Linked DNA regions of Elephas maximus indicus. The protein of the gene in region 1 purifies or fractionates together with the protein of each later gene. This does not show direct contact. Links are inferred from orthologs where the notes say so. Each region holds a gene or a part of one and is shown in the gene's direction. Other genes may lie near its edges. The genes, in order: ANAPC4, ANAPC13, anaphase-promoting complex subunit 2 and ANAPC7.

Region 1 (8,213 bases):
AAAACATTTAAAGTCACAATCTCTACTAGTAATCATTTACTAAAAAATTAAGTATTGTTTGCATAGATGGAGGCAGGATATGAAGATGAGTCAAAGAGCTTGCTTTCAAAAAGTTCACAATTTTACAGGATAAGACATGAAAATAACCAAAATATAAGGCAGAAACTGATTAACTGTACCTGTCCTGTGTCCAGTTGTAATTTGATAGAGGGAGAGGTTATGTTTCACTGTAGGGTAAGAGTTCAGGCTTTACTGAAGGACTCTTTAAGCCAGTCTTCCAGGGACAGATCAGGTTTAGACTTGTGGTAGCAGGAAAGGCTGGAGAAGGTATTTCAGATTGAATGTAACATGTAATTCCATGGTAGAGAAATTGTAAAATGAAATTATTTCTTAAAAGCAAGTCAGACGAAAGGAAAATACTTAAAAATATTTAATATGTAAATGTTTCAAACTTTTATTGCCATTCTTTTCTATGATTATTTTCACTACTACCACCAATATTTGGTATTGATTGTAGACCAGAGAAAAGTTATACCAGTAACAATAGCATATTTAGGAAAACCATTGCTATTTCAACCAGGCTAATTTGAATGATTATAATTATCTTTTTTTTTTTTTTAAACTAAAGGGATGATAGGAATTGAACCCTCTTGTTTTATGGATAAGAAAACTGAGACCCTTTCCTAAGGTCACATGGTTATTAGGTAGAGATTACCAGATATCCAAATTTCACATTACATGAACGTTTGAAATCAAGATAGAAGATTCTGAGCCGTCATGTGAGCTGTGATGAAAAAACACCTATTAGTATTAGAAGTATATGATGCATTCATTAGTTACTATTTTATGATTGTATTAGGATTCTATTATCTCTTTTTATTTTCTTTGTGAAAATTAATTTTTTTCATTAAAACCCAGCCACTTGAATTCTACCTCCTACTTAAACTGACTTTTCCATTACTTTTTATCAGATTTACTCTATTTTAAATAATTTTTTCCATTAAGTAACCCGAATGGAAGTAGAATTTTAAAAACATTAAAGAGGCTGTCGTGTAGGCTTTTAATATCTTAGAAAATTAGTAAAGAGATACTCAGGTTTGATATGCATAAGCTTTAGTTTACTGCAAGGTAGTCATGCAGGTAAGACCTCACAACATTCATTTAGAACTGGAGAATCAGAATTTACAATTACAATGTTGGTCAATGGTTAGAGTCCAAATCTTTTGCTTTCAGGTTTATACCTTTGATGAGAGGTCTCAGGAGGCAGGCTTCACCACAGCTGGAACTCATTAGAGATCCCTTACAGCTAGGGTCCAAGGCCAGTGGTGGTGGACAGAATCTCAGTTCCATATCTATCTTCTCTCAGTACGCGAGCAGAAATTTAGAGTTTATATGTGAATTTATCACCTTGGCTTCACATGAGGGCCAGTGTGACGTCAAAGACTAGTATGTTCTGTCTTTTCTTCAGGGTTAGAGAGTAGCCAAAAGATGCATTTTCTCTTCAAGGTTAGACATTAGGGAGGTTGTTTAATTAATGTTGTTTTCTTGTATCACAGGATGCTGGGTCAGAGTGAACTTAAAGGTTATTTACATTCTTTACATACTTCACATGCTCCTGTGTTTCTGTGTCTAAGTTTAGAAATTTTCTAAATTACTTTATTAGGAGAGCCTCAGAGTGGTAGACATAGTTCTAAGTTCATATTATGAGTGCTTATTCATATGTATTTTGAAAGCATAATAGTGTCTTAGACCTTATGGGATTTGAGATCATTATAGAAACAGACAGAACTTATTGACGAATCTTACAAAATCTTCTAGTAGAAACCTTTAAGAGTAGAATGCAACCTAATAAACTATCGGTCTGTGACTGTTACACTATTCTCAGTAGGAACAGGAAGATAACATGCTCAGCCTTTACCTCTGTAAACTCATGATACATAGAAACTGAACTTGCATTCTTACACACACACACACACACACACACACACACCTGTTGCTGTCGGACTCATAGATCCTATAGGACAGGGTAAAACTGCCCCAGAGTTTCCAAGGCGCTGCTGGTGGACTCGAACTGCTGACCCTTTGGTTAGGAACCAAATGCTTAACCATTGTACCACCAGGGCCCGGTAGGCTCTTTCCTGGGTTTTAAATAGCCTCAGTTAGTCTGTTTTGTGGTAATACAGTACAACCTGTGAGAGCTGGAACGTGACAGGACTGCCTTGTTTTTCTGGGTCTTGAAAGTTTTCGGCCTTTGACAGGTTGCAGTCTTACTACTTTTCTGTTGCTCTCTATTTGTGGAAAATATTTGTGTTTTCCTTCTCTGACAGGTTTCCACCTTACACAGGTTCCGGCTTTCACAGGTTTTACCGTATATTGTTTTCATTGTGGGAATTCATCTGTGTCTTTCAGTACAGATTTTAGGAAGTTTAAGTCTAAGAGCAAATCCTTGGGGATGTGGTATATCTGGTCATTCTTAAATAGTATTTTACTTGCTTCTCTCAGAGAAGATTCCTAAACTCTTGCTAACATTTCTCTTAAAAAATTTTTTATTTTAAAATTAACAAGGCTATGTTATTTTTTCTCTTTAAGATAGTAAAAAAATAATTTTAATAGTATTTTAGGCATACATGGCATAAAAGATCTTTTTAGCTTCTGTTTTTTACAGCTGTTTTATATTAATTTGTTTTTCCTTAATGCTAATTTTCCTTTGGTTGTGAACTGGAATGATGCTGGCTCCCTCTTGTGGTTAAAACTCATTTTGTCAATTACATAAATACTTTTAGAGGACAAAGACTAACTTTAATTTTAAGTAAAAACAATTATTTGATTTATACTCAATCAGTTCATCACAGCTTCAAGACTTTATATCTGCAAAGCTTTGTTTATTCATATTGAAAATGAATATATTAAGATTTTTTTCCACCTATTTTTGTTTACTGTATCCCCTAGTGAAATCTGGTTATAGTGTTGATTTTTAGTCATGCTTATTCGCGGATGAGCCAAAGAAAAATTTGTTTAAATTTATTTGTACAGGCATTGACTTTGTTATCAAGAGATTATACTATACTTCATTAAACTTGCTAAATCATCACTTATCAGGAAATTATCTTACATTTAAAAATTGGCTGGGGGAAAGAGGAGATTTGTATAACGTGCAAAAACAATATAAAGATGACTGTTTTCATTTTGAACTGATAGAATATTCCAATCCATAGTGCAAAGTCTACATACGGAACATTGCAAACTTGTCAAGCGAAACTGAATAACACTTGAGTCGTGTGGAACTACTACTAATATTTATTGAGTGATTACCATATGCTTAGCATTTTGCATAGCTGAGTAATTTATAGTAATGCATAGCATCCAAAATGATTAAAAGCAGTTTCTGGAATCAGTCTAGTTTTGCCACTTCCTCACTGGATGATCGTAGATTTTCATAGCCTTAATTTCTTTTCCTAAAAAAAGCCTAGGGAAGGGATAGGAGGGTGATTTCCGCCTCATCTGTCTTCTAGCTCTTTGAAGTCAAAGATTATGCCCATTCATTTTTGTATTCTTGACACTTATGCCGAGTGAACAAAAAGTGAGGCTTAAGTTTGGTTCACTAGGGGATTATGTATTGTTTGTGAAACCTTTCGCAGGTTTTGGTCCTGGGAGGTCAAAAATAAGCTTTTCCCCAGGGCTTGTGGTTTACGAGAGGTGAAGCTAACTATTGATATTGCTAGCTATCAAAAACCAAATCCATTGCCATCGAGTCAGTTCCGATTCATAGTGACCCTATAGGACAGAGTAGAACTGCCCCCTAGGGTTTCCAAGGCTGTAATCTTTACAGAAGCAGACAGCTGCATCTTTCTCAAGTGGAGCAGTCCGGTGGATTCGAACCGCGGACCTTTCCATTAGCAGCCGAGCACTTTAACCACTTCACCACGAGGGCTTCTGTTATTGCTGACTAAACCAAACCAAAACCAAATCCAGTGCTGTCGAGTCGATTCCGACTCATTGCGACCCTGTAGGACAGAGTAGAACTGCCCCATAGAGTTTCCAAGGAGCACCTGGTGGATGTGAACTGCTGAGCCTTTGGTTTGCAGCCATACCACTTAACTACTACACCACCAGGGTTTCCTTTTGCTGACTAGTGACGGGAAATTTCTAGGCTTGCCAGAACTGTTAAGCCCAACCTGTTCTCTGGTTCATGATACGATAAATGGTATTCTTCCAGCTTGGAGAAAGTGAATGTACAAACCAGTAGTCTTTCTCAGCCACAGATTACCCGTAACTTAGTTCAGAGAATGCCAGAAGCAAATGATCTGTTTTTTTCTGGTGTGGTTTAGTGCTTTTAGAGGGCAGGGTCCAGCTTTTTCATTTTGAAGCTAGTTTTCAGGAAGACAGGGACCACAAAATGTGGACAACCTGTATGGCACTTGCCCAGGACTTTTAGTTCCTGAGGAAAGGAAAATTAGCCCAAGGACTGTAGGACTTATAAAATGGGCCCCTTCCAGTGTTGTCATTTTCCCATTATGCTAACTGCCGAATGCATAGGTCCTTTTTGTAAAAAATGTAATTCAGGGGTTTGAAGATTGAAGTGCTGAGTTGAGCAGTATGGATGTACCAAAAAAAAAAAAAAAAACAAAACAGAAAAAACCAAAAACATAACTCATTGGCTTGACTACCTCTGTGATGTGTTTGTCCTAAACAGATTGTTCTAAATGTGTAGTAACCATCTTTCAAAGAAATTTCTTTTCTCAAACATTTTGTTTGGTCAGGCTTCTGGCTATCTCCTTGTTACTATGGTAAGAGTTCTGTGGATTTATGCTTATAATACAGTAAATTCCTTCTCTCCTCTGTTTTCTTATTTGGTTAGCTAGTTAATTAAACTTCAACATAATTACAGAATTTACTGTGCTCATTCTACAAAATAATTTAGTACCTTGTTTTTCAGAGCTGTCAGGAAGCAGAAGCAAAGAAAAAGTAATAAGATGGAATTGGAGACCACTAAAGGACAATCCATGAATCATACATCTGTTAGAAGGAAAAAAAAAGAGAAGGGAAAGAGCCCATCAATATCTTTGCTCTTAAATGTCCAGTGACTTGAGAATCAGAAAAGATTTATAGTCCAACCTTTGATGCCATTTTCTGAAAGTGCCACACTGGACTTAAATTCAGCCACTTGCAAAGGTATGTACCTGGCTAAGCCAGATACAGTCAGGCAGTATATGCTGGTTTATAGATGCCTTGTCCACCTCTCTGGAGACCTGGGGAGTTGTTCCATCCTTAGCTGGCTTACTAGCTCTCTCTGCATGCCTTCCTTCTCTTTTCCAATCATACTATTTTAGCCTTCTTTATCTGAAAAATGGACATACAGCATTCTTTTGCAGAAGGTGTCAGAAGAAAATGAAAGTGAAAACTTAAGAATTTTTGTTTACATTGAACATAAAACTCTGTTAACTTAGAAATGGAAATATTTGAAGTTAAATATTAAAACAGTATGAGATGGTTTAAACTCCACTTGAAAAGAAACGTACAATGTACAATTATTTTTAGGCTGCATCTGAAGATGGAAATAGTTTTGACAAAGGCACTCTGAAGATATAAATATAATTATGATGACATTACTCTTAAATATTTACTTGTAAAGTACATTTTATAGTTGTCCTTCAATGTACAGAATCACTTGTCTTTGTTGAATGAATGAGACATTTAGAATCAACGAGCTGTGTCATCTCGGCTTCTTTTAATCTATGCTGTTAGTGTATCTCTATGTGTAAGTAGTAGCAGAAAGCAGGCTAGTTTGGTGGTTTAAACCCTCACTCATATCCTAACACTTCCTGGCTGTGTGTCCTTGACCAGGTCACTCACTGTCTAGAAGCCCGTTACTCATTATTACAATGAGGATAATAATAGGTAGACCCAGGTTTGCTTTAGTGAGTTAAATGAGACACATGTGCCTCACTCATGGCTCTCTTCTGTCACTGGTGAGCCATGATAACAAATGAAGATTGCTGGGGAGGCCCGATGTTAATCCTCCAGTGGTCCAGTATCAAAGCACTGCAGGGAGCAGTTTATACTCAAGAGAACAAACAGTTCATCTCCCCATTTCCCTGCTAGATATCTGACGTTATCTCCTCAAAACTGAATAGTTTCGAATGGCTTCCACCTGCATAATGGCTTTCCCTTGTCCCCAAACTACCGCTTTAGAGCAAATTTGGAGGCATCTTTGCTTGGGGTTAGCTGGAGTCCCCTGTGAGTAAGGTTGGAGGGAAGTGCACTCCATCTGGTGTTTGAATTCCAGGTATGTTAGGCCTTTTCAATACATGAAGTGGAATACTCTAGCGTGGCCCTGATCGTTGTGGTAGTGGTATATTTCAGGTGACATCCAAGGATGGGCCAAGTTCCTGGACTTTTAGAAGCATCAGAAAACTCTTCTCTTGCCCCCTTGGTCACGTGGGTTGCTATGGTGGTAGGAGAGACAGATTTGGAGGTGATTAGATGAGATGTGAACCTGGTAAAATCATTGTAAGAGTAACCTTCTCTGAGTCAGACATGGACAGGGACATTGCCTCACTGTTGTGGTATCCACCATACATGATAACTATGAAATCTCTCAAGTATCTCTGTCTGGCACCCAGACACCTGTGGGACCATGACTCCTGAAGAATTGAGCCCTAATGGCTAATGGTTATCATCACATTATTTCCTTAATTTTAAGACACCATCAATTTTTTCTTTTTTTAATTGTAAAAATATATATATATATAACACAACATAACGTCAATTCAACATTTATGTCTCTCTTGCACGTTATAGGTGCTCAGTAAAATTGTTTTGAAGGATAGAATTTTCTAGAAGTTTTCAGATGGTAGGCATGCGTAAGATATGGAGAGAACTTCTATTTTCTGTTTCCTGTAAGGGCTGAAAAAAAGGGAAAACAGATCTACACAATTCTGATAGGAATTTAGAGTCAATACAAGGACTATTCTAACACTGAGGTTTTCAATGCTGGAATGTGCTGTGTGAGGAAGATTGACAGCCTTATCTGGAAGTCTTTAAACTTAGAATAATTTGGCTTCCTAGGTTGTTTTAAGAAAAACATTTATGTTGATGTCTGGCCTCTTCGAAGTAAGCTATAAAATACTAGGCATCTGGGAGAAGTTTGACGAGCTTTTGGGTATAAAACTACAGCCTGCAAAAGGCCCTGGGGAGATGCCACCTCCTTCACGATGTCCTTGTTGTTCTCTCCAGGGGAATAGCACTTCTCTTGCCAGTGCAATAAAAATACAATGTGTGCTTGTGTGTGTCTTAATTTGTACTTCTCTTAAGGTACTTAAAGCATGCGCTGTATTAGAATGACTTTAGGTACTCGTTTACCTCATTACACATTAGAAGCTCACTGATGACAGGGGCCTTGTGGACATAACGATGTTTGTTCACTGGTTCCTGGAACTGCCCCTTGCGCCCGGTGACATCAGAGATAACCAGCTGCATCATGTATGATCTGGGTTACTCCACCCAACAACTCTGGGAATTAGGCAGACAGCCTAACGCATTTCTTTACACCAAGACAATACCTTCCAAGTGTTAAAAAAAACCTTCCAAGTGTTAGGTGCTTATAAATACAGATTAAGTGAGTGGAAATGCCTCAAAACCTTAACTCTGCTACTTGAATAGGAAGCTAACACACTTAGAGCTGCCCAGGTGAGGAACACTTCCAGAAAATGGAAAGGAAAATCTAATTTCATTTATTTGATGCTATTTTAATTGGAGCATTAGGACATGTGTTAAGTTACTTGAAAGTGATATGATACGATCATATGATATGATTTCTACTATTTGATTTCAGGTGAGCTAGTGTAGACTGAGGGAGATAGCAGCAAAAGTAAGCAAGTAAGCAAGCAGACGTGCTAGCTCTGAGTTTTACCCCATTAGCTGGACAGTCACAAGATTCTCAGACTGGTTAGTTGTTGAATACCACTGCAGATGAGACAAGGTAATTCCTAAGAAACAGCTGGAGTAGGCAGACCTCAGTTTCTTCACCTACAAATGTGGCAGTGAGGAGTGGGAGCAAACTAGGGAAAGTCACCCAAACATTCTGCGTGTTAAAAGGGGACTATTAATACATGAGCCCAGTAAATCAAAGAAAAAATCACCCCTAATCCTACCACCCAGAGAGAATCACTGTTAAAACGTTGAGGTTTATTCTTACGGATAGATTCTTGCAT
Region 2 (7,662 bases), on another chromosome or scaffold:
TTTTTTTTTTTTGGTTTGTTTTATAGGAGCTACATTAATGCTTTACATATAACAAAACCAATCAAAATTTTTAAAAAGCAATACTGAAAGGCTGGAAACAAAATGAAATAAGTGAATCAACTAAATATCAAGTTGGCAGCCTGCCATTTAAATTATTTCATATGCCTTTAATAAAATAATTTTATTGCACATATCCCTAGTGGAGTAAAAACTAAGGATAAAAAAGAACTGCAAAGAAATCCTAAACACCACTTGGGAATTATATGAATAATAATATAATTATATGAATTATATGAATATGAATAATAACAATAATTGGTATTGTTAATTTGAAACCATTACATAATTATAGGATAAGGCAAAAAAGAAATATTTAATGACATTAGGTACCAAGATTTTCAGCAAGAGAAAAAGATACAAATATAAAATCAAACACATGATTTAAAAAAAAAATCTATAATATTAAACTGGAAATGTCATTGTGAACTCTGTACATTTCTCTTTTAGCTCTGGCTACTGTAAATCGTAGAACCAATGACCACCTAAAAGGAACCAGGGCTCCTTGGAGGCCAGAAATGTATAGATGACCAGGAATATGTTTTACTAGGAAGCAAGAAAATTATCAGAGACTACTGGAGTCATGTCAAAAAGAACAAGAGCCAACTTAAAAGGACTTCTGCTAGTTAAAGATAGTACAATTTGACTATCAAAGAAAAGAACAATGATTCCAATAGGTCAAAACAGTTAAAATATATTCAAATCTATGAGTATATGATGATAAAAAATTAAAAAAAGCAAAAACCTGCATGGTTACCTTTGGAAGTTGCTAGGGCACCGACTCATTACTGTAGTCTGAAAATAGAGGGAAAGAGGTAAGCATTTTTCTCGCCTTTCCTGTACAAACTGTATGTCAGGATAATCAAATAGCTGATGAGGGAAAGTCATCCTTCATAAAAGATTTCCACCTAATAAATACAGAAATAATGAAAAAATTGCAAAATCACCATTTTGCAAACCCTAATGCAATAATTTGGTGGCGTAGCGGTTAAGTGCTATGGCTGCTAACCAAAAGGTCGGCAGTTTGAATCCGCCAGGCATTCCCTGGAAACTCTGATGGGGCAGTTGTACCCTGTCCTGTAGGGTCACCATCAGTCGAAATCGACTCGATGGCAACAGGTTTGGTTTTTTTTTTAATGCAATAATAATAGGATCAGACAGTGTTTTGTTCTGTTGTACATAGGGTCGCTATGAGTTAGAAGGACTGGATGGCACCTAACAACAACAATGCAATGATTAGGAGCCCTAGCGGTGCGTTGGTTAAATGCTCGGCTACTTACTGAAGGGCCTGCAGTTTGAACCCACCAACTACTCCATGGAAGAAAGATGTGGCAGTCTGCTTCTGTAAAGATTACAGCCTTGGAAGCCCTATGGGGCAGTTCTACTCTGTCCTATAGGATTACTATGAGTCAGAATCAACTTGACAGAAAATACCGCAATAATGGATACAGTAAATCTAACCCACAAAAGTATTTTACCAACAGGTGAACCGCTCATAGGAGCTTTTATGATGAATGGATTGGGCTAACAACACCTGAACCCACTGTTCACAAAAAGAGACCACTCAGACACTACCTGCCCCCCGACAATGATACAATAGCAAGTACACTGCAGCACCTATAAAATATTCTTGCCCCCACTCATCAAAAAAAGAAAAAAATCAAGGGTGAATATGATCAAGCTTATAGGTAAGTGCTCTTCAACAGAGCTTTATGCAATTACGGAAATTATGGGCGACTGGGCTTAAAATGTGGCTAATGCAGCTAATGAAATAAATTTTTAATTTTAATTAATCTAAATAGCCACAGTTGGCTGGTGGTTACCATATTGGACAGTGCAGTTCTATATCTAATGGTTTAGCAGAAATAACAGAGGTACAAGTTAAAGGATACCACATAGCTACAACCAGCTAAATCTAGATGGCAATGAAAAAAGGGGAAAGAGAAAAGCAAATTACTAAGATTGTAACAGACTTAAAAAGTATATCAACCAAATGTAACATGTGGGTAGATCTTTACAAGACTTTCATCCAAACAAGCGAACTGTAAAGACATTTATGGGATGGTTGGTGAAATCTGAACCCTGCCTGGATATTGACATTATAGAATTATTAATTTTGTAGGTGTGATGACAGTATCATGGTTTTGTAAAACCGAAAAAAGAAACCTCTGTTCTTGGAGGGAAAAACCCGTAAGTAACATAAAAATCAGAAATTCAATTCCTGAAACCTTATGTCATAATTGGCTTTGGCAGAACAAGTCAACATTGGAAAAAAAAGGAATGATCTAATGAGAGAGTGGACTACTCACCATAAGGCTAAGGGCTTCTACCTCTTAAGTGGAGGAAAATGGCATCAGTACAATTAATATATATACTTATCACAAATTTTTTACATCTGAATTTACATCATTTTAAATGGCAGTGTCAATCCAAATGTTTATAAATCTCTAATCCATTTTAGTTTAAAGCCTTTTTTAAAATTATACCTATCTCTGATAATGACATAGTCAAAAGGCAAGCAGCAAGCAAGTTTGAGAAACAAATGGAAATTTATAAGAATGAATAATTTTTTCAAACCTTCTGAATTCAGGATAAAAATTAAAGACAGTATTGTATTCCACATAAGAAAAGATATACTTTTTATTGTATCATTAAGCTCTAGCTATTAAGTGTATGGAATCTCTGGGTGGTGCAAAGGTTAATGTGCTGGGTTGCTAACCGAAAGTTTGGAGGCTCAAGTCCATCCAGACGCACCTCAGAAAAAAGGCCTGGCAACCTGCTTCTGAAAAATAAACCATTGAAAATCCTGCAGAGAACAGTTCTACTCTGACACACATGAGGTCGCCATGGGTCGGGATGAACTGGATCATTTTTTTGTTTTGTTTTGGTTTAAGTATAAACGTAAATATTTGAAGGTAAAGTGTAGTTGATGATCATTATCATGATTTCCTCTTCATCTACAGCCTTGGTGGCACAGTGGTTAAGAGCTCAGCTGCTAACCAAAAGGTTTTAAGTTTGAAGCTCCTTGGAAACTGTGAGGCAGTTTTACTATCCTATATGGTCGCTGAGTTGGGATTGACTCCACCAAAATGGATTGTTTTTTTCTTCATCTCTATGAAATAAAAACTAAATGCTAACATGAGCATTTATAAGGACCTGTACAAATATGGGAATCTACAATATCGCTTTATTAAAGAAATAAAGTAGCTTTCTTTAAAAATCGGTTTAGGGAATCAGACGCAAAAACTAAGTGCTCAGGGGAAACTACTTTATGGAAGTGTACTGCACTGTTAATTACAAAAAAAGACTAGTCTCTGACAGCCTTATATTTCTCTCCTGATGTTACAGGGACACAAGAAAAACCCCATCACGAGCTAGATTTACTGTCTCTATTTTCAGGATTAAAGTGTTTCTAAGGAATCGCCGTTTTTAACCCACTCTTACGTGGTTCCCAGTCCTGACTTGCACGCATGGAGCAATCAGTTCAGGGTTCCCCAACTTCAGTCCTTCCCGAATTTTGCCACATCCTCGTACTTCCTGTACTAAATATTAGCATTTTTTAAACGAATTCGCTTTTTTAAAATTGTTAACCACCCAACCATTCATGAGCCGGTACTACCTGCAATAAATCAGCAACAATGCTAGAAAATTCTAACCAGATCCAGCAGCAGGGACAGATTGTCCAATAAACAAGGCACGCACGGGCTTACTTGTGCTTATTATTAATTTGTGCTTATTCACCTACGGGCCAGGTGAAATTGTGCACTCCAGAGAAGTAAACACAAGTGAACCCGTGTGTACCTTGCTTACCGGTCAATGCGCCCCTATCCAGCAGCCTAGGTAAGGGGTTGTGCTGAGGGACCAGCACCGTAAGGAGGAGAGCGCGCGGGAGCCTTTGCCACGAAGAGCGGACTGCCAGCGGCCCGCCCACCCGACTGCTCCCCGAAGCACCCCTCCCCGCCGCCGGGCTCCAGCAAGGCTGACCACCTGGCGGGCCCGGAACGCGCGCCAGGCGCCGCTACGTCCGCCTTCACAGGCCGGCAGGAAGCGCGCAGCATAGCCGAGGGGCGGGGGGCGGAGGGGCGCCGAGACGGGCTTGGCGGCTTGCGGGCGGCGGCGGCGGGGACCGGGCCATGCGGCCCCGCGGCCGGCGGCACCACTGCAGCCAGGTCGCCCTCCGAACGAGCCCGCCCCTCACCCGCTGCGCCAAGCGCACAGGCGGTTACCGGGGTACCGCGAGCGCGCCCCCGACCCTTCCCGCCGTTACCTCGGGCCGGGGACGCGCACGCGCGTCCCCACCAGCCCTACGTCCCGGCTCTGTCGTTAGCACGTTCGTTCCGCCCACTCCCCCCTCACTCTTCCTTGAAACAGTGTCCTTTCAGGACCTCCCCTCTGCGCGCGCAAATGGGCTCACCCACATCCGGGAACGCGCGAGAGGGGCGTGCTCGGCGGAAGCGAGGCCGCGGTGGGCTGGGTGCTGGGGAGAGCTTCCCGCGCTCCCGGCCCAGGTCTGGGGAGGGCGAGGAGGCCTTCGCTCTTTGTGTTGGGTCTCCTCCCCGTCTGCCGTTGGCCGAAGTCGGTGACCTTACCTCTCTCCCTGGGAGTTACCGCCCGCACCGCACGCCTCGTGGGGCGAAAAGGCGCGTCCGGGCGGCGGGGGACCCCCTCCCGGCCTCCGTATTCGGTCTGTGCAGCCCCAGGCCGGAAGCCGCGGCTGTGGAGCGGCCACACGCACAGGGGTGTAGACGGTGGTGACCCGCGAGGACGGTTCTGGCGAAGGAAAGATCGTTCTGCTTGATTCTGTAAATACGTTCTCAGGGCCGTGAAGGAGAGATGGGTAAAACGTGTCCGTGTTTCAGGGAACGCGCGCCGCCCTTCTGGGAAGACACGTAACGAGCCCGTAGTGTGGCCGCTCCATGCGCCGGGAGACGCTAGGACCCGCGGAGGGTTGGGCGTCGCGCTCTCCTCAGGCTGGGAGAAAACCGTCGGCAGGAGGCTTACCTGGAGCTGATCTTTTAGATGGAGGTTTAGCCGAGATGAGAGAAAAGAGCACCCCAGGCGTTAGGGCTAACACATGTGTAGGCACAAAGGCGTGGGAGAGAAAAGTTTGTTTAGTAAATTCCAAGTGTATTCGGTCGAGTGTGGTGAGTGCTTGGGACAGTGGCCGTGTCCTAATACCAAAAACCCACTGCCTCCAGTTCGCTCCGACTTACAGCGATTCTGTAGGATAGAGTAGAACTGCCCCATAGAGTTTCTAAGGCTGTAATCTTTAGGGAGCAGACCAAAACCAAACCCACTGCCGTCGAGTCGATTCCGACTCATAGGACCCTATAAGACCGAGTAGAGCTGCCCCATAGAGTTTCCAAGGAGCGCCTGGCAGATTCGAAGTGCCGACCCTTTGGTTAGCAGCCGTAGCACTTAACCACTACTAGGCATCCAGGGTTTCTTTAGGGAGCAGACTGCCACATTTTTCTCCCTAAGTGGCTTGTGGGTTCGTCATTGGTTTCAATGACGTTTGGGTTAGCAGCCGAGCACTTTAACCACTGTGGCACCAGGGCACCTTCCGCTTGTCTTAGACATGCTTATATTGATGCTTCCCACTTCTCCAGTCCATTAATCGTGAAGCCACCTAACCCCAGGAATGGGGTGTTGAATCCAGTGCCAGATTGGGGAAAAAAGTAGGAGTTAGTGATAGGGAAAGGGCGGCTATAAGTGCAAGGGCTGGGAGGTGTGACAGGATTGGAGGTGTTTGAGAGAGGAACAGGTGAAAAGCGATAGAAACAAAATTGGGGAAAGGTATGCCAAAGAGTCATTAATAACCAAATTTATATATATAACAATTGGAGATAATATTTTTTTAATCAGTGGGCCACAATGCTGCCCTGACTTGGTTAGTGGATCGTAATGACAAAAAGCAAGAACAGAAATTAACTAAAACTCTAGTGATTTCAGAAAATTTTAGGAATGGTGAAATCTGTGTGGGCCTGGAAAAATCTGCAGGTTTGAATCAGTGGAGAAAAGTGAGGGGGGCATGGGGGAAGGGAACAGAGCAGAAAGGACAAAGGGAGTGGTAGCAGGACAAAGGAGCGCCCTTGGAGGACAGCAACTCCACAGGTATAACTGGAACCGAAAGTGAAAAAGCCTTGTGTGTAAATTTCCTAAACACAGGCTCTTTCAACTTGATTGACATTGTCGGTATAGTGGAGTAATTCTTAAGTGAAATATTACGATCTTCCTAAACTAGTTTACTGGTGGCAAAGATAGCTGGGCACCTTTTGCTTCACAGTTTTGCCTGGATCCTTACAAGAGTAAAAAACTTGCCCTACCCCAACCTGTGTAATTATTGCCCCAGTGTTTGGGCTATTGTGCAGTTACACTATTTGGACTACGTACAGGCCTGTATGAAGGAACTGGATTCCACCCCCAAAGACCATTCTTGTATGAGTCTCTGCTGTTTCTGAAACTGAGAGTGTCTAGAGTGCCTTTGGTGCCGGTGTCCTCCAGGCCTTCAGGATGGCACCTTTGTAGCAAGGAGCACAGTAAAGTGGTTCCCATGATGAAGTGACAGAGCCTAAACTTGGAGATTGGGAACCCAGAGGTACCCACCAAGCTGCCCAGCCTTTTCAGTTAGATTGCACCTGTTTCAGGAGGAAATGGGAGGAATCAGGGTCAAGGAGCTAAGTAAGTATCTTGACCACTTGAACCAGATTATTAAACGGGGAGCAGCGATAAGAATCCAGGGAAGAAACCCCACGTGGAAGCAGAAACTGGGGCAGCATGGGGTCCTGCCACCGTTCACCTGGAGAGGCCCTTTTCAGAGCTCGCTCAGGGTTCTGTTTTAAGAAAGGAGGTAGCTCGACTGCTGAAATCTTCTTGCCTTGAGGATTTGTGTCAGATCTGCTCTTGGCCACTATGTGTAACTCAGTTCAGTTTTTCGTTTAACTCTTGTATCTTAAAAACGCCAACAAAGGCAGAGACTTTTGTAAATGTAGTGCAGGAAATCTGTGAGGGGATGGACACGGGACTTAGCAGGCAGTTATGAGTCAGGAACTCATCAAAGGCCTCATAATCAGGGAAGAGCAAGGCTTTGAATTGGTTCGGTCATGGCCCAGGAGACAGGAAAAATTACAGGTGTCGAAGCCCTGTTAGAAACTTAATCTCCTTGAAAACCAAAGGCAGCATATGGGTTGCATGGCAACCAAATATCTTGCCCTTTGGATTTTGCGCAGTAAGAAGCAGTGGTGCCTGGCTCAAAGATGGTGGCTGAGCATGCTGCTTTGAATGTGTCACTCTCCTCATTCCTGGCAATAACCCATTCTCACAAATCAGGCTCCTTAAAGGGTGCACTATGCCACTTCTGAGTCTCCCATTGCAGGGCTTTGACCCATAATTTTTTCTGTTCCACTTATGGTTCTGGATCACCTAAATTTTAAAAATTTGTTTCTCTTCCAGTGTTAATTCCTTGGCCATGACTGAACTGGGAAGAACTGGTTCGAAGCCCTGGGGAAAAGTAAATGCGCAGCTAGGAGGGAAAAGCTGCGTTTTAGGTGTGCAGTGGCCTCAGGAGTTGGAATCGACTCAATGGCAACAGGGTTTCACGAACAA
Region 3 (7,438 bases), on another chromosome or scaffold:
TGAAGATCTCCTTCAACGACAAGAGCCTGCAGACCACATTCGAGTACCCCTCTGAGAGCTCCCTGGTGCAGGAGGAGGAGGCGGCCGAGGAGCCAGAGGAGGAGGGGGAGGACGAGGGGTCCGGCTCAGAGGGGGCAGCCGAGGAGAAGCCCTTTGTGCTCTTCCTGCCCCGGGCCACCTTCGTGAACAGCGTGGGGCCCGAGAGCCCTCGGCTGCCAGGTGGTAGCCCAGGTGAGTGCCCACCTGTGAGGGTGGCAGTGGGGGAGGGCAGTGCTGGGATCCCAGGTCCTCATACTGCGCCTATGACCCACAGACCTGTCCAGCTACACTCCAAAGCACTCGGTGGCCTTCAGCAAGTGGCAGGAGCAGACAGCAGAGCTGGTTCCGTGCGAGGTGGAGCCCCTTCCTAAGGAGATCATGGTGAGTGGGGGCTGGAGGGTACCAAGGGGCAGGGCCAGAGAGGGTCTTGAACGCCTGGACAAGCCAGCAGCCTCAGCCATCCCCTCTTTCTCCCAGCTCACTCCTGCCGGCCAGAATGACCTCTCGGACTTCCGCAGTGAGCCGGCCCTCTATTTCTGATCCTTCAGGATGATGGGTAGAACCCTGGTGCAGGTGGTGGGGCCAGCAGTTCCCAGGAGCCCGCCTTCACTCTGTCCCCACCCCTTACCAGGCTCCCTTGCCACAATGTACCACCTTCTGCCCTGCAAGGGCAGCCAGGTGCTCAGGGCCTGCACTGGGGCTCCTGGGTTCTTCCCATGGGTCTGTCTGGGTCTCACTTCCTTTGGATGGGCTCCAAAGTAGAGAGCGGTGTGGGGCCCAGGGGTCCGGCTGGATGGCGCCCCTGTCTGTCCTGGTGGGGGCCTGAGCGGACTCTGGCCCAGGTTACCCTCTGTCCTGCCAAGCCCTGGCTCCTCATCCTGCCCAGTTGCACTGTGAAGGGGCTCTCCCCTGCAGGGGCTCCCTGGCCCACCCCTAGCCCAGCCAGCACTGACCCCCAAGGCTGAGCCTGGCCCTGCTTCTTGAGTGGTAAACGGGAAGTCTTTCCTGAGGAACGGACTAAATAAACAGCACTGGACACTGCCGCCTCGGTCTCTGGGTGGTCCCTCCTGTTGGGCATTCAGGGTTCAGGGGTTGGGGTTCCACGGAGCACATCTGCTGGGGGCCCACTGGGGGGTGGGGGAGGGGAGGGACCTTGTAGATGGGCACCTGTGGCCAAGTAGGAGGTACCTGTTGGCCTCTCACAATCTCCACAGCCCCAGCTCTCCCCCACCATTCTCTCACCCAGCTGCCCTGTGTCGCCTCTCGGTCAGTGTCGGGAGCGCCTGGTGCAGCACCCCCACCTAGAGCTGGCAACTTTAGGAGGCAGGATGCTGGGCCTTCCATCTGAGATTGGGAATTCTTTGTGTGCCAGGACCTGAGTTGGTTCCCTGAAGAGTTAGGGGCAAGGAGCCCGAGAGGGGTTGAAGAGCAAGGGCTGAGTATGGGCCCACGGGTGGTCTGGGGCAGGGCAGAGCCCTGGAGATCTTGGCTTTGTTTGGCTTGGAAAAGTCCTAACCCAGCAGAGCCCACACAGTGGCAGGCAGGCAGGCAGATGTGGGTGCCTGGGGTGGGCGCTAGTGCTGGCAGGAAAAACCGAAGTATGTCAAGAGGTGGGAAAGCCGAGGTGGGGGCCCCCACACTGGAGCAGCTCCTGGCTGGGCTGGGGGCCCAGATATCCTCGCTGCCACGTGCAGGCTGAGCCGGGCTGTTTACAAATCCACAGGCAGGACCGACCAAGCATTGAGTCTGAATACCTGTTTCCTTCCTGGGGAGTTAGGGAGTCAAACTTATGAATGAGCAAGTGGGACCAGGTTTGGGACAAAGGGCAGCATGTTGGTGTGTTCTCTCTCCTCTCAACAACATGTGTCTCCCCAAGGCACCCAGCCACAGGCCTGGGTTGCTGCAGTGCTAGGACCCCAGGGTGGAGGATATGCCAGCGAAGGTAGGGTTGGAGAGGTCTGGGGATGAAGGATGGGGCCCAGCAGCGCAGGGAAGAAGAGAAGTGGACAGAAAGGGTGTGAAGCTATAAGGCCTGTGTTCAGAGGAACCAGCGTCCAGAAGGGGGCTGGCGTGCACACTCAGCCATTTCCAACTGTCCTTGGGCCCGGCTATGGTGTGGCAGAGAGCACGACCAGCAGATGAAGGCCCTCAGAGAAGGATGGGCTGTGTCCTGGATTTGGGGGAAAGTAAGTGGGGGTCGGGTGAGACAGGGATAGAGCAAGTGGCCGTAGGTGAAGCAAAGGTCTGGGGCTGACATCTGCAGGTAGGCGGAGGAGGGTCATGGGAGATGCCCAGTGGCACCCTCTGCATCTGAGACTGGGGCTCTCAGTCACAGGGAAAACCACTCCAAGTCCCCTTTCCCTGCCCCGCCCCATGGAGGAGCCACCATACCCAGCCAGAACCTTTGTGGGCTAGCTCTGGGGGTGGCAAGCAGCCCCATGTACTCGACACAGGCACAAGCCAGCACGATTCTTTACAAAGAAAGCCTTTATTCACACAGTCACGGGGCACTAGGAACAAGCTCTGAGGTCTCAGTTCTGAGGCAGAAGAGGGCCCAACCACTACCTCACTTGCCTGGGCCCCTGCTGGCCAAGGAGGGACAAGGGAGGCAGAAGTCCTGGGGGTTGAGACTAGAACCAGCAGCACAGGGAGGCGTGGAGGTTTTGGAGTGCCCTCCCCAATTGCTGCCTGCTGGGAGCACCACGGAGCCAGATCCCTGCCTGGTAGGCTACTTTTCTCATCCAGAGCTAACAAAGGCTGCAGCTGCCTTGATACCAAAGACAGGAAAAGAAGGTGGCTGCTGCCATACAGAACAAAGACGCTTTATTAACAGGTTTCCTGGGGGCCAAGTAGCCTGGCCCACCCATGGCCTCGTCAACTGTCCTTGCCCCCACTGGCCTTCTGCTCCGAAGCCGTGGCCTTGGTCAGGTTCCCAGCTTCTCTCTTCAGGACACTAAGCAGAGTCTGGGAGCTCTCCAGGATCTGAGACCAAAGAAAACACAGGCTGGTCATTGATGCTCCCGCCTGGGGGGTACCCGGGGACAGGCAGGGCCTGCAGGGGCCTCTTCCCTCCCCAGGTCTGGCCAGTGCTTTGTTCTCTGCCGGCCCCCCGTCCATCACACACCGAGCAGAGTGAACCTCAGGAACAACCGTGGTAGGAGAACATGGGCTGGGACACACCATGTTCCACAGACAGCATTCTCCTTTCCTCAGTGGGCCCAGCCGAGATGTGGGGAAGATGCAGACTGCTCGCTGGGACCCCTTGCTCCCACAACTGAATGCCCCTGTGCTGAGCCAGGGTCCGGGGAGGGGAAGGGAAGCCTCTACTCAGGAAAGCCCCCAGTCCTGAACCCCCTAGGCACTCAACGCTTGCCCACACAAGGGATCGGCCTGGCCTGTGGCCCCAGCTGCCTCGAGTCCCACCTTGAGGTAGGCAGCTTCCGTCTCCGCGATGGTCCGGTCAAACTCGTTTCGAGAGGCGATCTTTCGAGCCAGGTTCTCATTGACCCGGGCCAGCTTCTCCGTCAGCTGCCTCACCTCGTTCTGCAGCCGCTGCTTCTCGTCCTCTTCCTGCTGGATCTGGCGGCACAGCTCCTCGCGCTTCTGGGACAACTCCTCGATGCCTGGGGCGGCAGGAAGGAGAGCAAGGTCCTGGCTAGGCCGCCTTCCCTCCAAGGAGGGCCAGAGTCCTGCCTCTCGGGGGCCTCTGGATACAATAAGGCGGTGGACGTGGGCGACAGCGCTGTGCCTGGGAGGTAGTGCTCACTACAAACACGCGGCACTCAGTGCGCACTCGGTGCGCACCAGGCGCTCTCCCACGCGCCTTCCACGCACAGTGACCGAGCTGGGCGGGTCCTAATGTACCGCTAGGCCCACCCTGGGGCCAGGAGGCCACGCACGGACTCGGCGCGACACTTGCCCACGGCCACGCAACTGCTTGGCGGCCGCGCGCCTACTGCCTGGGGCCCCGCCGCTGGGCCGCCGCCTCCAGCGCCCCGCTGCGCCCGGGCGGCTGTGCCAACGCTGGCCCAGGCCCCTCCGCGGGCTACGACCGCCCGGGCTACACGGCGCGGGACGTGCTCACACTTGACCAGCTCGTTGTTGTAGTTCTGCAGCGCCGCTCCCTGCTGAGTCATCGTCCCGGACACTCGCCCCTCCGCCGCCGCCGCGGGGATCCCGGTCACTCCAACCGCCGCCGCCGAGCACTCGCCTGCGCCTGCGCAGTGCGCACCGAGAGCGCGCCGACCTGCAACGTCATCGCCGCGCGCCTCTTTTGCGTCATCGCCCTGCGCCGCGCCCGGCCCGTGCGTCAAGGAGCCGCGCTGATCCGGGCGGACCCGGGAGCCGGTGGGCCCAGATGGCTGCAGAGGCGGCGGGGGCGAAGGGGGACTGCGACCCCGCGCCCGGACAGGAGCTGTTGGTGGCCTGGAACACCGTGAGCACCGGGCTGGTGCCGCCGGCTGCGCTGGGGCTGGTGAGGCCCGGAAGAGAACGGCGGGCTCGCGCGCGGTCCCCGCGAAGCTTTAGGGCCTCCGCCTCTGTCCATCGCCCGTCTCTGCCCTCCCGCCCTCCTCCACAGTCCCGCATCTTTCGGCTCCCTTGCCAGCCCTTCCCAGCGTCGGCGCCACATCGGCGCGCTGCGGCCGAGGAGCGGCGGGGCTCGCGCAGCCTCCCCTCCGCTGCACTGCCCGCCTTTCCCGCCTGCCGCTCCCCTCCCCCGCCACGTCCACTCGCAGCTCTGCGTTCCCCTCTCCTCACGGTTGTCTGCACTGTAGGCGTCCTCTCGGACCAGCGGTGCGGTCCAGCCAAAGGAGGAGGAGCTCCGGGCGGCTGTGGAGGTTCTGCGGGGCCACGGCCTGCACTCAGTCCTGGAGGAGTGGTTCGTGGAGGTGCTGCAGAACGACCTGCAGGCTAACATCTCCCCCGAGTTCTGGAATGCCATCTCCCAGCGCGAGAACTCCGCGGACGAGCCCCAGTGCCTTCTGCTGCTCCTTGACGCTTTTGGCCTGTTGGAGAATCGCCTGGATCCCTACCTGCGTAGCTTAGAGCTCCTGGAGAAATGGTCTCGCCTGGGATTGCTGATGGGCACTGGCGCACAGGGGCTGCGGGAGAAGGTCCACACCATGTTGCGGGGTGTTCTGTTTTTTTCCACTCCCAGAACTTTCCAGGAGATGATCCAACGTCTCTACGGGCGCTTCTTGAGAGTCTATATGCAGAGTAAGAGGAAGGGGGAAGGAGGCACCGACCCAGAACTGGAGGGGGAGTTGGATAGCCGATATGCTCGCCGCCGTTACTACCGGCTCCTGCAGAGCCCACTCTGTGCTGGGTGTGGCAGTGACAAGCAGCAGTGTTGGTGTCGCCAGGCCCTGGAGCAGTTCCACCAGCTCAGCCAGGTCCTGTGAGTACTATGCGTGTGGCCACGCCCCTGGGCCTCCTGATTTCCCAATTGTTCCTCTGGGTCTGGCTGCAGAGAGCTGGTCAGCTGGCCAGGGGCATCCCAGAGGGAGGGGGCCCTGGCACCCTTGGATGGTGAGTTTTGAGCCTTTGGTCTTGGACCAGTTGTATCTCTTTAGTTTTTGTGCACAGCCCAGGAGTTGACACTTTGCCCACACTGAGACCCTATGTGACTTGTGCGTGCAGCAGATTTCTGTCCCCATTCCAAACTTACTGGCTCCCCAGAATTCTGCTGTACTGCCTGTAGGCTAACGGGAGTGTACGTAGCCTGTGATTGTGGTTGCTGTGCCAGTGGGTAACAAACAGGGGGCTCACCATTTCTTCTGTGCTGAGCGTGTCAGGCAGGCAGATTTGTGTCCCCATTCTCTGGGAAGGAGTTCTTGTTGGCTGCAGCCAGGCTCTGCTGTCTGCTCCCTCCAGCGCGGTTATGATTTCTGTCATGTTGAGCAAAGTGGTTGCGATGCCGTTGTTTGGAAGGGGTCTCTTAGTTAGATTTGGATCAAGGGAGTGGTCCCGCTGCTGCCAAGGGCCCTAGAGGCCCTGAAGGGCTTCTGCTAGGCTCATCCCAGTTGAAGGTTGTATGGAACGCTCTTTCTTGTTTCCTCGTGAGTAGCTTTATTTTTCTAGACCAGCGTTCGTGCTGAAAGGTGCAGACGGTGGTATCTATGTTTACGTGGCCCGGGTAGCAGTGATTCAGTTGCTGTTTCCGAGCCAGGCCAGGGAGATGGGGCTTGGGCCTCTGGTAGCTCCCCTGCCGCCACTTCCTACGGGAATGGCCATCACCCCAGTCTGGGCAGTCCAGCTGGGCAGGCCAAATGGCACCTCGCCAGTGCTCTGTTCTCCCAGCAGCTTTTCCACAGAGCCCTGGCACAGCTGACACTGCACACACTCGTCTGTTCTCAGACACAGACTCAGTTTGCTGGAACGGGTCAGTGCCGAGGCTGTGACCACCACGCTGCACCAGGTGACCCGGGAGAGGATGGAGGACCGCTGCCGGGGCGAGTACGAACGCTCCTTCCTACGGGAGTTCCACAAGGTATCGCCGCCTTTGCTCCGTCCCCTTTGGAAGTGTGCCAAAGTGCAGAGACGGAGTGGGCTGGGACCTCGAAGGTAGTTGAGGCCATTCCGGGGGCTGCACTGATCATGTTGCATCCACGACGTGCTGGGTGAAGTCTTAGCGGAATCACACGGTTCGAGGCAGTGCCAGGGCCAAGCAGCGGTGTGGCCAGGCCCACCTGAGAGGGACAGACTGATCTCCTTTTAGCTGCGCCCCCCGGGGACTGACCCCTTGCAGCCAGCCTGCATCCCAGCATGGCCTGCGCACCCCCATGGGGCAGAGGAGGAGGGGCAGGAAGAGAAGAGCAGCCAGGGCAATGGGGGAGACTGGGGAGACAGCCTGGCAAGGTGGGGTCGTATCCCAGGGTGGGCCTCATGGTACTGTGCCATCCACAGACAGGCTTGGGGCTCTCCCAGAGCTGGCGGAGAGCTGGGACCAACCGTCGTGGCTCCCTGCTTTTCACCTGTTCTCACTCCGCCATTTCTGAGGGTCGCTCTCCAAAAATGACGGTTAGCATGGTTGAAGGAGGTACAATAGGGGTCCTCCAAGCAGTGGGCAAGAGTGGTCATGAGCCCTGGCAGCCCAGCTGGGACGAAGTGCAGATTCCCAGATACTGGAGTGAGCCGGGGACTCAAGGCGCAGCAGCCCAGGGCAGCTTGGGCTGTCTCTGTGGTGTTAACCCCACCCACGTCTGGGACGCCTCTCAGCAGGATCACACGTACACACACACACAGGAGTGACTTTGTCCCGCACTGCTTTGTTTGTGAAGGGCAGGGCACTGGTAACATCTGTGTCCTGGAGGGGTGTACCCACGCGGTGCATGCAGCGTGTGAGTGTGTGTGCAACTGTCTCACTCACGTGTGACATCAGTGTCAGTGGAGATGAACA
Region 4 (7,882 bases), on another chromosome or scaffold:
TGGCTTGCTTTCATATGTCACCTATAGCCCATTGCCGCCAAGTCTGTTCTGACTCATAGCAACTGTATAGGACAGGGTAGAACCACCCCATAGGGTTTCCAAGGCTGTAATCTTTACGGAAGCAGACTGCCACACCTTTCTCCCACGGAGCGGCTGGTGGCTTTGAACCACTGACCTTTAGGTTAGCAGCTGAGTGCTTAACCTCTGAGCCACAAGGGTTCCTTATGTAACCTATGTGTTTTTATTTTTTGAAAGCTTCATTGACGTATAATTTACATACAGTAAAATTCACCCATTGTAAGTGTACAATTCAATGATTCTTAGTAAATTTACAGAGTTGTGCCGCCATCACCACAATCCAGTTTTAGAACATTTCTGTCAACCCAAAGTGACCCCCGTGTGGTCAATCCTCACTCCCCCACCCAGCCAGACAACCACTAATCTACTTTCTGAGACATTTCATAGAAATGGATGCATAGACTATGTGGTCTTTCACCTCTGGTGGCTTTCACTTAGCATGATTTTCAGAATAATTTTTTTTTTCAGATCCATTCATGTTTTGGCTGTACTTTATTCCCTTTTATCGCTGAATACTGTTTCATTGTATATGCCACAGTTTATCTATTCATCAGTTGATGGACATTTGGATTATTTCCACTTTTTGGCTATTATCAGATGTGGTTTTACTTACAAAATATTTCAAATGTAGAAAAATATATAATAGCAAACATGTAGTGCTTAGGAGTCGCTGGGTGGCGCAAACAGTTAAGCGCTTGACTATAACCAGAAGATTGGTGATTTAAACCAACACAGAGGTGCCTTGCAAGAAAGGCCTACAATCTGCTTCCAAAAGATAAAACCCCGTTGCCATCGAATCAATTCTGACTCACAGCAACCCTATAGGACAGACTGAAACTACCCCATAGGGTTTCCAAGGCTATAATCTTTACGGAAGCAAACTGCCCCATCTTTCTCCCTCAGAGAAGCTGGCATGTTCAAACCGCCAACCGTTCTGTTAGCAGCCAAGTGCTTGACCTTTGTGCCACCAGGGCTCCCTTCCAAACTGTAACAGCCTTGAAAGCTGCGGAGCATAGCTCTACTCTGCAACACATGGGGTCACCATGAGTTGGAATCAACTCTACAGCAAAGATTTTGGTTTGTTTTTTTTATATGGCCCTTTTTCTTTTACTATGTGCCAGACATTGCTCTGAGCGTGTTAGATACAGTGGTATACTTAGCAAGTTTGACACCCAGAGTAGATAATTTTTACACCTCCTATATCGACTCAAGGGCACTGGGTTTTTTTTTGGGTATGTTAAAGTACATGACAAAATTACTTTTAGCAATGATCCTGAAATGAAAGAAGTAATCGTAATGGCCAGAAAATAACCAATGAAAACATATTTTATCTGAATTTCATCTAAATAATGACAGTAAAAATTTAATAAATATTACAGTATAAAAAGGTAATGGCTTAAAACTTAAAAATTTTTTTCAACAAAAAACAAACCTGTATTTTATTCATTGGTCTGGCACAGAAATAAATATTAGTTTCTATTTTTGTTCCTCAAATTCTGCAACCTTGTCGATCATTTTGTCAAAACTGATTGTCTTGGCATATTCGTACTCAATGAGCGGTAAAAAAAAGTCATCAATCACTGTAGCACAAGCTCATAGGTTATTAAAAAAACACTTATTAATTTTACTTTCAAAGCACCAGATATGCAAAGTTATGAAAAGTCGTAAACATAAGGATAAATTTGTGGAGATTAATAAAAGCCCCATTTCACAATAAATTCCAAAGAGCCACAGGTCATATTTTTTTGGTAAGAAGTGGAGAATATTCCTACTCTGTTTAGCTCAAACATCTAACCTGCCTCGTTCAATTTTCTCCCTGGCCCTCATACGCATCTGAAGTGGCGATCTAATATATTTTGCCACTGTGTAATTAGGTGTTTTGGAAACAGCCATTTAAATATCTGGCACAAAATTTAAGCAGGCGGCCTCAGTTTCTCCACCTGTAAAAAGATAACAATTTCAACCTTACAGACTGATTTGTGAGCAACCCATTCAATGCAATAACTGGTGTAAAACTTTTGTAAAATGTCAACTGTGTTAGACAAATGCTGGCTATTATGAGTACCAGCTCATTTTTGGACGCGCCTTCTTCATTCACTGTGAGCTAGCGAGTCATTTCACAGGGTAAAACTGCCCTTTCGCACGGAAGGCAGCTATCCAGGAGGGGATGTCTGACTCCCCAAGAACGCACGAAACACCTGCCAGGAGGGGGTGTGGCGCCTTCAGTCTAGTGCGCAAGCGCAACAGGAAGAGCAGTTAGGACTGCCCCTGGCGCCTGCTTAAAATATTTAACTCCAGCTTAAAAAAAAAAAAAAAAAAAAATTTTTAATTTTTTTTATTGAGGATTTATTTTAGGTGGACTCGTGGGGTGACACCAAGGACGTCATACCTGAAGAATGCAAAAGATCATTAAAAAGACAGAAAAGAAAGGCCAAAACGGATGTCAGAAAGGACTCTGAAACTTGCTCTTGAAGGTAAAGTAAGTCAAGCAAATGGAAAAAATGACATGAAAGAGCTGAACAGAAGATTTCAAAGAGCAGCTCAAGAAGACGAAGTATTATAATGAAATGTTCAAAGATCTTGAATTAGAAAACCAAAAGGAAAAAACATGCTCAACGTTTCTCAAGCTGAAAGAACTGAAGAAAAATTCAACCCTAGATTTGAAATACTGAAACACTATGGGCAAGATATTTAATGATGCAGGAAGCACCAAGAGAAGATGGAAGATGAAAGGAATACACAGAGTCACTGTACCAAAAAGGACTGGGCGACATTCAACCATTTAAGGAGGTAGTGTATGTTCAAGAACCGATGGTATTAAAAGAAGTTTGAGCTGCACTGAAGTCATTGGTGAAAAACAAGGCTCCAGGAATTAACAGAATACCAGTTGCAATATTTCAACAAACAAATGCAGGGATGCAATCCTGGAAGCACTCACTTGTCTATGTCAAGAAATTTGGTAGATAACTACCTGGCCGACTGACTGGAAGAGATCCATATCTGTGCCGATTCCAAAGAAAGGTGATCCAATAGGAAGTGGAAATTATCAATGTCATTAATATCACATGTAAATAAAATTTTGCTGAAGATAATTAAAAACCGGTTGCAACAGCACATCAACAGGGAACTGCCAGAAATTCAAGCTGGACTCAAAAGAGGATGTGGAATGAGGGATATCATTGCTGATGTCAGATGGATCTTTGCTAAAAGCGGAGTATACCAAAAAGATGTTTACCTTGTTTTATTGACTATGCAAAGGCATTTGATGGTGTGGATCATAACAAGTTATGGATAACATTGCAAAGAGTGGGAATTCCAGAACACTTCTTTGTGCTCATGGGGAAACTGTACATAGACCAAGAGGCAGTCATTCAAACAGAACACAGGGATACTCCCTGGTTTAAAATCAGGAAGGGTGTGCATCAGAGTTGTATCCTTTCACCGCACTTATTGAATCTGTATGTACTGAGCAAATAATCCGAGAAGCTGGACCGTATGAAGAAGAACTGGGCATTGGGATTGGAGGAAGACTCATCAACAGTCTATGACATGCAGATGGCACAACCTTGCTTGCAGAAGGCAAAGAGGACTTGAAGCACTTACTGATGAAGATCAAAGACCACAGCCTTTAGTATGGATTACACCCCAACATAAAGAAAACAAAAATTCTCACTACTGGACCTATAGGCAATATCATGATAAATGGAGATAACCCTGAAGTTGTCAAGTATTTCATTTTACTTGGATCCACAATCAACACCCATGGAAGCAGCAGTCAAGAAATCATATGACATATTGCATTGGACAAATCCACTGCAAAAGACCTCTTTAAAGTGTTAAAAAGCAAAGATGTCACTTTGAGGACTAAGGTGTGCTTGACTCAAGCCACAGTATTTTCAATCACCTCATATGCATGCTAAGCCTGGGCAATGAATAAGTCAGACCAAAGAATTGATGCCCTTGATTTACGATTTTGGAGAATATTAAATGTACCATGAACTACTAGAATGAACAAATCTTTCTCGGGAGAAGTACAACCCGAACGCTCCTGAGAAGGAAGGATGGTGAGACTTGGCTTTACGTACTTCGGACATATCGTCAGGAAGGATATCATGCTTGGTGGAGGGTCAGCGAAAGAGAGGAAGACCCTCAAGATGGATCGACACAGTGGCTGCAAGAATAGGCTCAGGCATAGCAAGGATTGTGAGGATGGTGCAGGACCTGGCAGTGTTTTGTTCAGTTGTACACAGGGTCGCTATGAGTCAGAAGGGGCTGGATGGCACCTAACGACGACGACGTTGAAAATTTTTCAGCGCCCTACTGTATTTTTTCTACTTTTTCAAATTTGATTTTATTTATAATAAATGTGTATACATTAGTAATTAATTTTTGAGGTACACATTCCTCTCAGACTCATCTCACTTCAATTGAGCAATTATTCTTACTGAAAGGTGTTCGGTCCCTAGCCTAGCCCAATGTAAGCCCTCAATAAAGTTTGCGGATTAGGAATGATAACATAATTTTTCCTTACGGGGCGGAGGGGGGATTGCAAATCAAGCGCCCCAGTACGTCACAGGAGGCGCGGGGCGGCCAGGACCTGACTTTTTAAGCAGGCACTACGGAAGTCGCCTATTTTCTTGGAGGCGGTGCCTCACGTGGACCCGATGGACCCCGGCGGGGCCGCCATTTTGGAGGCCTCTCTAGGGCGCCTGTACCGGCCTTCGGTGCCGCTGCCTGCGGCTTCGTCGGGTAGAATGAACGTGATAGACCACGTGCGGGATATGGCGGCCGCGGGGCTGCACTCCAACGTGCGGCTCCTCAGCAGCTTGTTACTGACGATGAGTAACAATAACCCGTGAGTCGAGGCGGGGAGCGGCTGGGCTGAGACAAAGCGGCGCCGGTTTGGGAGCGGGGTGGAGCGGCCGCGGGCCCCAGGTGAGGCTCAGGTGTCAGCGAGGCCTCGTCGGCGGATCCGACGTGGGAGCGCACGGCGAGTTCGCTGGGATGAGCTCCCCGCGGAGGACTGCACGGCGGGAGGTTCCCAGGATTGCCCTGAAGGGGGTCCCCCGAAAGGATTGCCCTGGAGAGGGTCCCCCGAAAGTTGGGAGCGACCGGTTTGCTGAGGCACCTGGCGCCGAGCAGAGCGGCTGTCAGGCGTCGCTGGGCTGAATCCTGCCCTCCCGGCTCCTTCCGGAAGAACGTTTTCCCGCTCTCGGCAGCTCCAGGGGGCCCAGCCCCCTGCCTTTTATTCCTTTTTCCCACCCTTGGGATTGCCTTTCTCCTTTGAATGTCTCGCCTAGACAAGCCCCTGAAAACGGGCGGCTCCCTCGATGATCAGGTGGGAGTGGCGCCTCTTTATGTCAGGTCCCAGGACTCCCAGGAGATGCAGAGCGTGCCCCTTTCATATTCTCACAGCTGCCACTTACTGAGTCTTAGGATGGATGAAGCACCGGCCTCATTCCAGCTGTGATCGCATTGTCATTCCCCTGCTTAAAATCCTCCATTGTGCTCAACATAGCCTGCAAGGCCCAACCCGGCTTCATCTCCTTTGCTCTGCTCACTGCCTTCCAGCCCCCTCGACAGTTCTTTCTGTGACTTAAACGCATCAGGCTTGTTCTCACCTCTGGGCCTTTACACTGCTCTTCCTGCTGCTTCATTCAGTTTTCAGCTCAGATATCCCTCCTGGAGAGCCCTTCTCTGACCACTAGAATTGTCCCTTTTCCCTACTCTTCTAGCCGATTGCTCTGTTTTATTTTCTGCATCACTCTTGTCACTGATGAAGTTCTGTTATTTCATCTACATCTACCTCCCCTGCCAGACCGTAGGCATCATGAGGGCAGGAGCCCTATTAATTGCCTTCCCTGCTGTATCTTTAGCACTTAACCTGGTGTGCAGTAAGCACTCATGTGTTTATTAAGTGTGATAAGCAAGTGGGTACGATCTCTGGTGAAATACCTTGTCCAACTTCACACATTTAGTAGGTGGAGGATCCGGGATGGGACCTTGGTCCTCTCTGCCTCCGTGCTGACCCACCACAGCCTAAATGGCATTGTGGTTGAATTTCCTACTTAGCATGGACCCAGTGTGGTTGGTCTGCTCTAGAAGCAGTCTACGTCAGAAGGGAAAGGCCTTAAGTGCCTGTAGTGCAGCCACTGCTTCCCATTTCATTTCCATGAACGTGCTTTGGACTTCACTCTGTGAGACCCATCATTTTGCCACCATCCACTTAATGCTGACAGCAAGGAGCCCTGGCTTCTGTCAGCCTTCTGTGTTTATTCTGGAGCCTTTCACTTGCTCCAGAGTGATTTGCCAAAGCATATGGTTTCCACACTTGGGATTTATGCACCAGTTAGTCATTACTCATTGTTTCTTTTTCTTTTCTTTTTTTTTTAATTTATTTATTGGGCTTTAGGTGAAAGTTTACAAATCAAGTCAGTCTCTCATACAAAGAGCCGTACACACCCTGCCGTGTACTCCCAGCTGCACTCCCCTTAACGATACAGCACACTCCTCTTCTCCATCCTGTATTCCCCGTATCCATTCAACCAGCTCCTGTCCCCCTCTTCCTTCTCATCTCACCATCAGGCAGGAATCGCCCACATGGTCTCATGTGAGTCTAGGCCAATCCTTGTCTGTAGAGTTGGTTTCAGGAATGGTTCCAGTCTTGGGCTATCAAAGGGTCCGGGGTACTCATTGTTTCTTGAAGAAGTTATAGGATAGTCTGATCCTCGGGCTGCTCTTTAGTTAGCCTAGGCTTCTTCATATGAAGTTCGACTGGCAGCTTCCTAGCTTCTGCCTCTAGAGGAGAATATCAATAAAGAAGAGCAGACACAACATGTATCTATATATTTAAGTTCTAACCTTTATATTTTAAAATTTCTTACTGAATAGACAGTTACATGCTAATAGTTTAAAAAAAGTACAGAAAGGGTTGTTGTTAGTTGTCTCAGTAACAGAATGAAACTATTGCCCCGTGCTCTGTCATCTTATATGCAGATAGTGTCTGTCCCTAGCTCCTGAGCACCACACCACCATTCCCTTCTCCAGAGGCCACAGTTGTTAACAGTTTTTCATGTATCATTCCTGAGAGAACCTCACCTCTGCCCACATAAATAGGCGTGTATGTTACATTATATAAATACCTGAATGTGTTCTGTGTATATGATGATACTTTGTTCTTTATCCAAGCATCAGATACATACTTCTCACTAAATACATAGAATCTCAGAGTTGGAAGAAATCTGAAGTCATCTGCACTGTACCTTACAGTTCTTGAATTTCCTTTGTAACTTGATCTAGTGTTTAGCCTATCCTTTTTTTTTTATTATTATTTTTTATAAGGAGATAGAATTCACATAAGATAAAATTCAACCTCTAAACTGTCGAATTATATGGTTTTTAGTATATTCATAAGGTGTGTAACCATCACCACTACCTTAATTCCGGAACATTTGATCACCCTGCACAAAAAGAAATCCACACCCATTAGCAGTTACTCTCCATCTACCCTTCCCCAGCCCCTGGCAACCACTGCATATTTACTTTCTGTCCCTATTGTACCTGTTCTTGAATACACCTCCATTTGTTGAGAAACTCACTGTCTACAGAGTTCTTTCACTCACTCTGTTCTTTAATTTTAAGCAGCTATAGTTTCTACCTGTCAAAGAAAACCATGTTAAGCTCCTTTTCATTTGGGAATGAAGGGGCAGGGTGGGATTGGAAATTAAAAGTATGAGTTTCCCATTAAGAATTCAGAATGCTGGCTTCTAGCCAGTTATAGTGCTTACGAGCAGTATTCAAGGTT

Evidence for each region.
Region 2: the proteins of ANAPC4 (region 1) and ANAPC13 purify together in Homo sapiens (affinity purification with mass spectrometry; 9 studies listed by BioGRID and IntAct, counting the BioPlex papers as one, with this or other methods). This does not show direct contact. The link is inferred for Elephas maximus indicus from reciprocal best matches to the Homo sapiens genes ANAPC4 and ANAPC13.
Region 3: the proteins of ANAPC4 (region 1) and anaphase-promoting complex subunit 2 purify together in Homo sapiens (affinity purification with western blotting; 12 studies listed by BioGRID and IntAct, with this or other methods). This does not show direct contact. The link is inferred for Elephas maximus indicus from reciprocal best matches to the Homo sapiens genes ANAPC4 and ANAPC2.
Region 4: the proteins of ANAPC4 (region 1) and ANAPC7 purify together in Homo sapiens (affinity purification with western blotting; 14 studies listed by BioGRID and IntAct, with this or other methods). This does not show direct contact. The link is inferred for Elephas maximus indicus from reciprocal best matches to the Homo sapiens genes ANAPC4 and ANAPC7.

What each region holds. Positions count from the first base shown.
Region 1 is NC_064823.1:137,986,348-137,994,560, reverse strand, and holds the start of ANAPC4 (anaphase-promoting complex subunit 4), read left to right. Parts: upstream 1-5,084; 5' UTR 5,085-5,172; intron 5,173-8,213. Other genes in the region: rRNA N6-adenosine-methyltransferase ZCCHC4, read left to right, coding at 4,937-5,084. UniProt on the Homo sapiens protein: Component of the anaphase promoting complex/cyclosome (APC/C), a cell cycle-regulated E3 ubiquitin ligase that controls progression through mitosis and the G1 phase of the cell cycle.
Region 2 is NC_064844.1:45,037,385-45,045,046, forward strand, and holds the start of ANAPC13 (anaphase-promoting complex subunit 13), read left to right. Parts: upstream 1-4,545; 5' UTR 4,546-4,565; intron 4,566-4,606; exon of another isoform or gene 4,607-4,741; intron 4,742-4,768; exon of another isoform or gene 4,769-4,894; intron 4,895-7,610; exon of another isoform or gene 7,611-7,662. Other genes in the region: CEP63 (centrosomal protein of 63 kDa), read right to left, coding at 815-945. UniProt on the Homo sapiens protein: Component of the anaphase promoting complex/cyclosome (APC/C), a cell cycle-regulated E3 ubiquitin ligase that controls progression through mitosis and the G1 phase of the cell cycle.
Region 3 is NC_064827.1:1,039,141-1,046,578, forward strand, and holds the start of anaphase-promoting complex subunit 2, read left to right. Parts: upstream 1-4,263; 5' UTR 4,264-4,396; coding exon 4,397-4,513; intron 4,514-4,814; coding exon 4,815-5,437; intron 5,438-6,396; coding exon 6,397-6,529; intron 6,530-7,438. Other genes in the region: TPRN (taperin), read left to right, coding at 1-231, 314-420, 517-579; microtubule nucleation factor SSNA1, read right to left, coding at 2,914-3,021, 3,463-3,662, 4,124-4,175. UniProt on the Homo sapiens protein: Together with the RING-H2 protein ANAPC11, constitutes the catalytic component of the anaphase promoting complex/cyclosome (APC/C), a cell cycle-regulated E3 ubiquitin ligase that controls progression through mitosis and the G1 phase of the cell cycle.
Region 4 is NC_064840.1:9,000,772-9,008,653, reverse strand, and holds the start of ANAPC7 (anaphase-promoting complex subunit 7), read left to right. Parts: upstream 1-4,749; 5' UTR 4,750-4,832; coding exon 4,833-4,933; intron 4,934-7,882. UniProt on the Homo sapiens protein: Component of the anaphase promoting complex/cyclosome (APC/C), a cell cycle-regulated E3 ubiquitin ligase that controls progression through mitosis and the G1 phase of the cell cycle.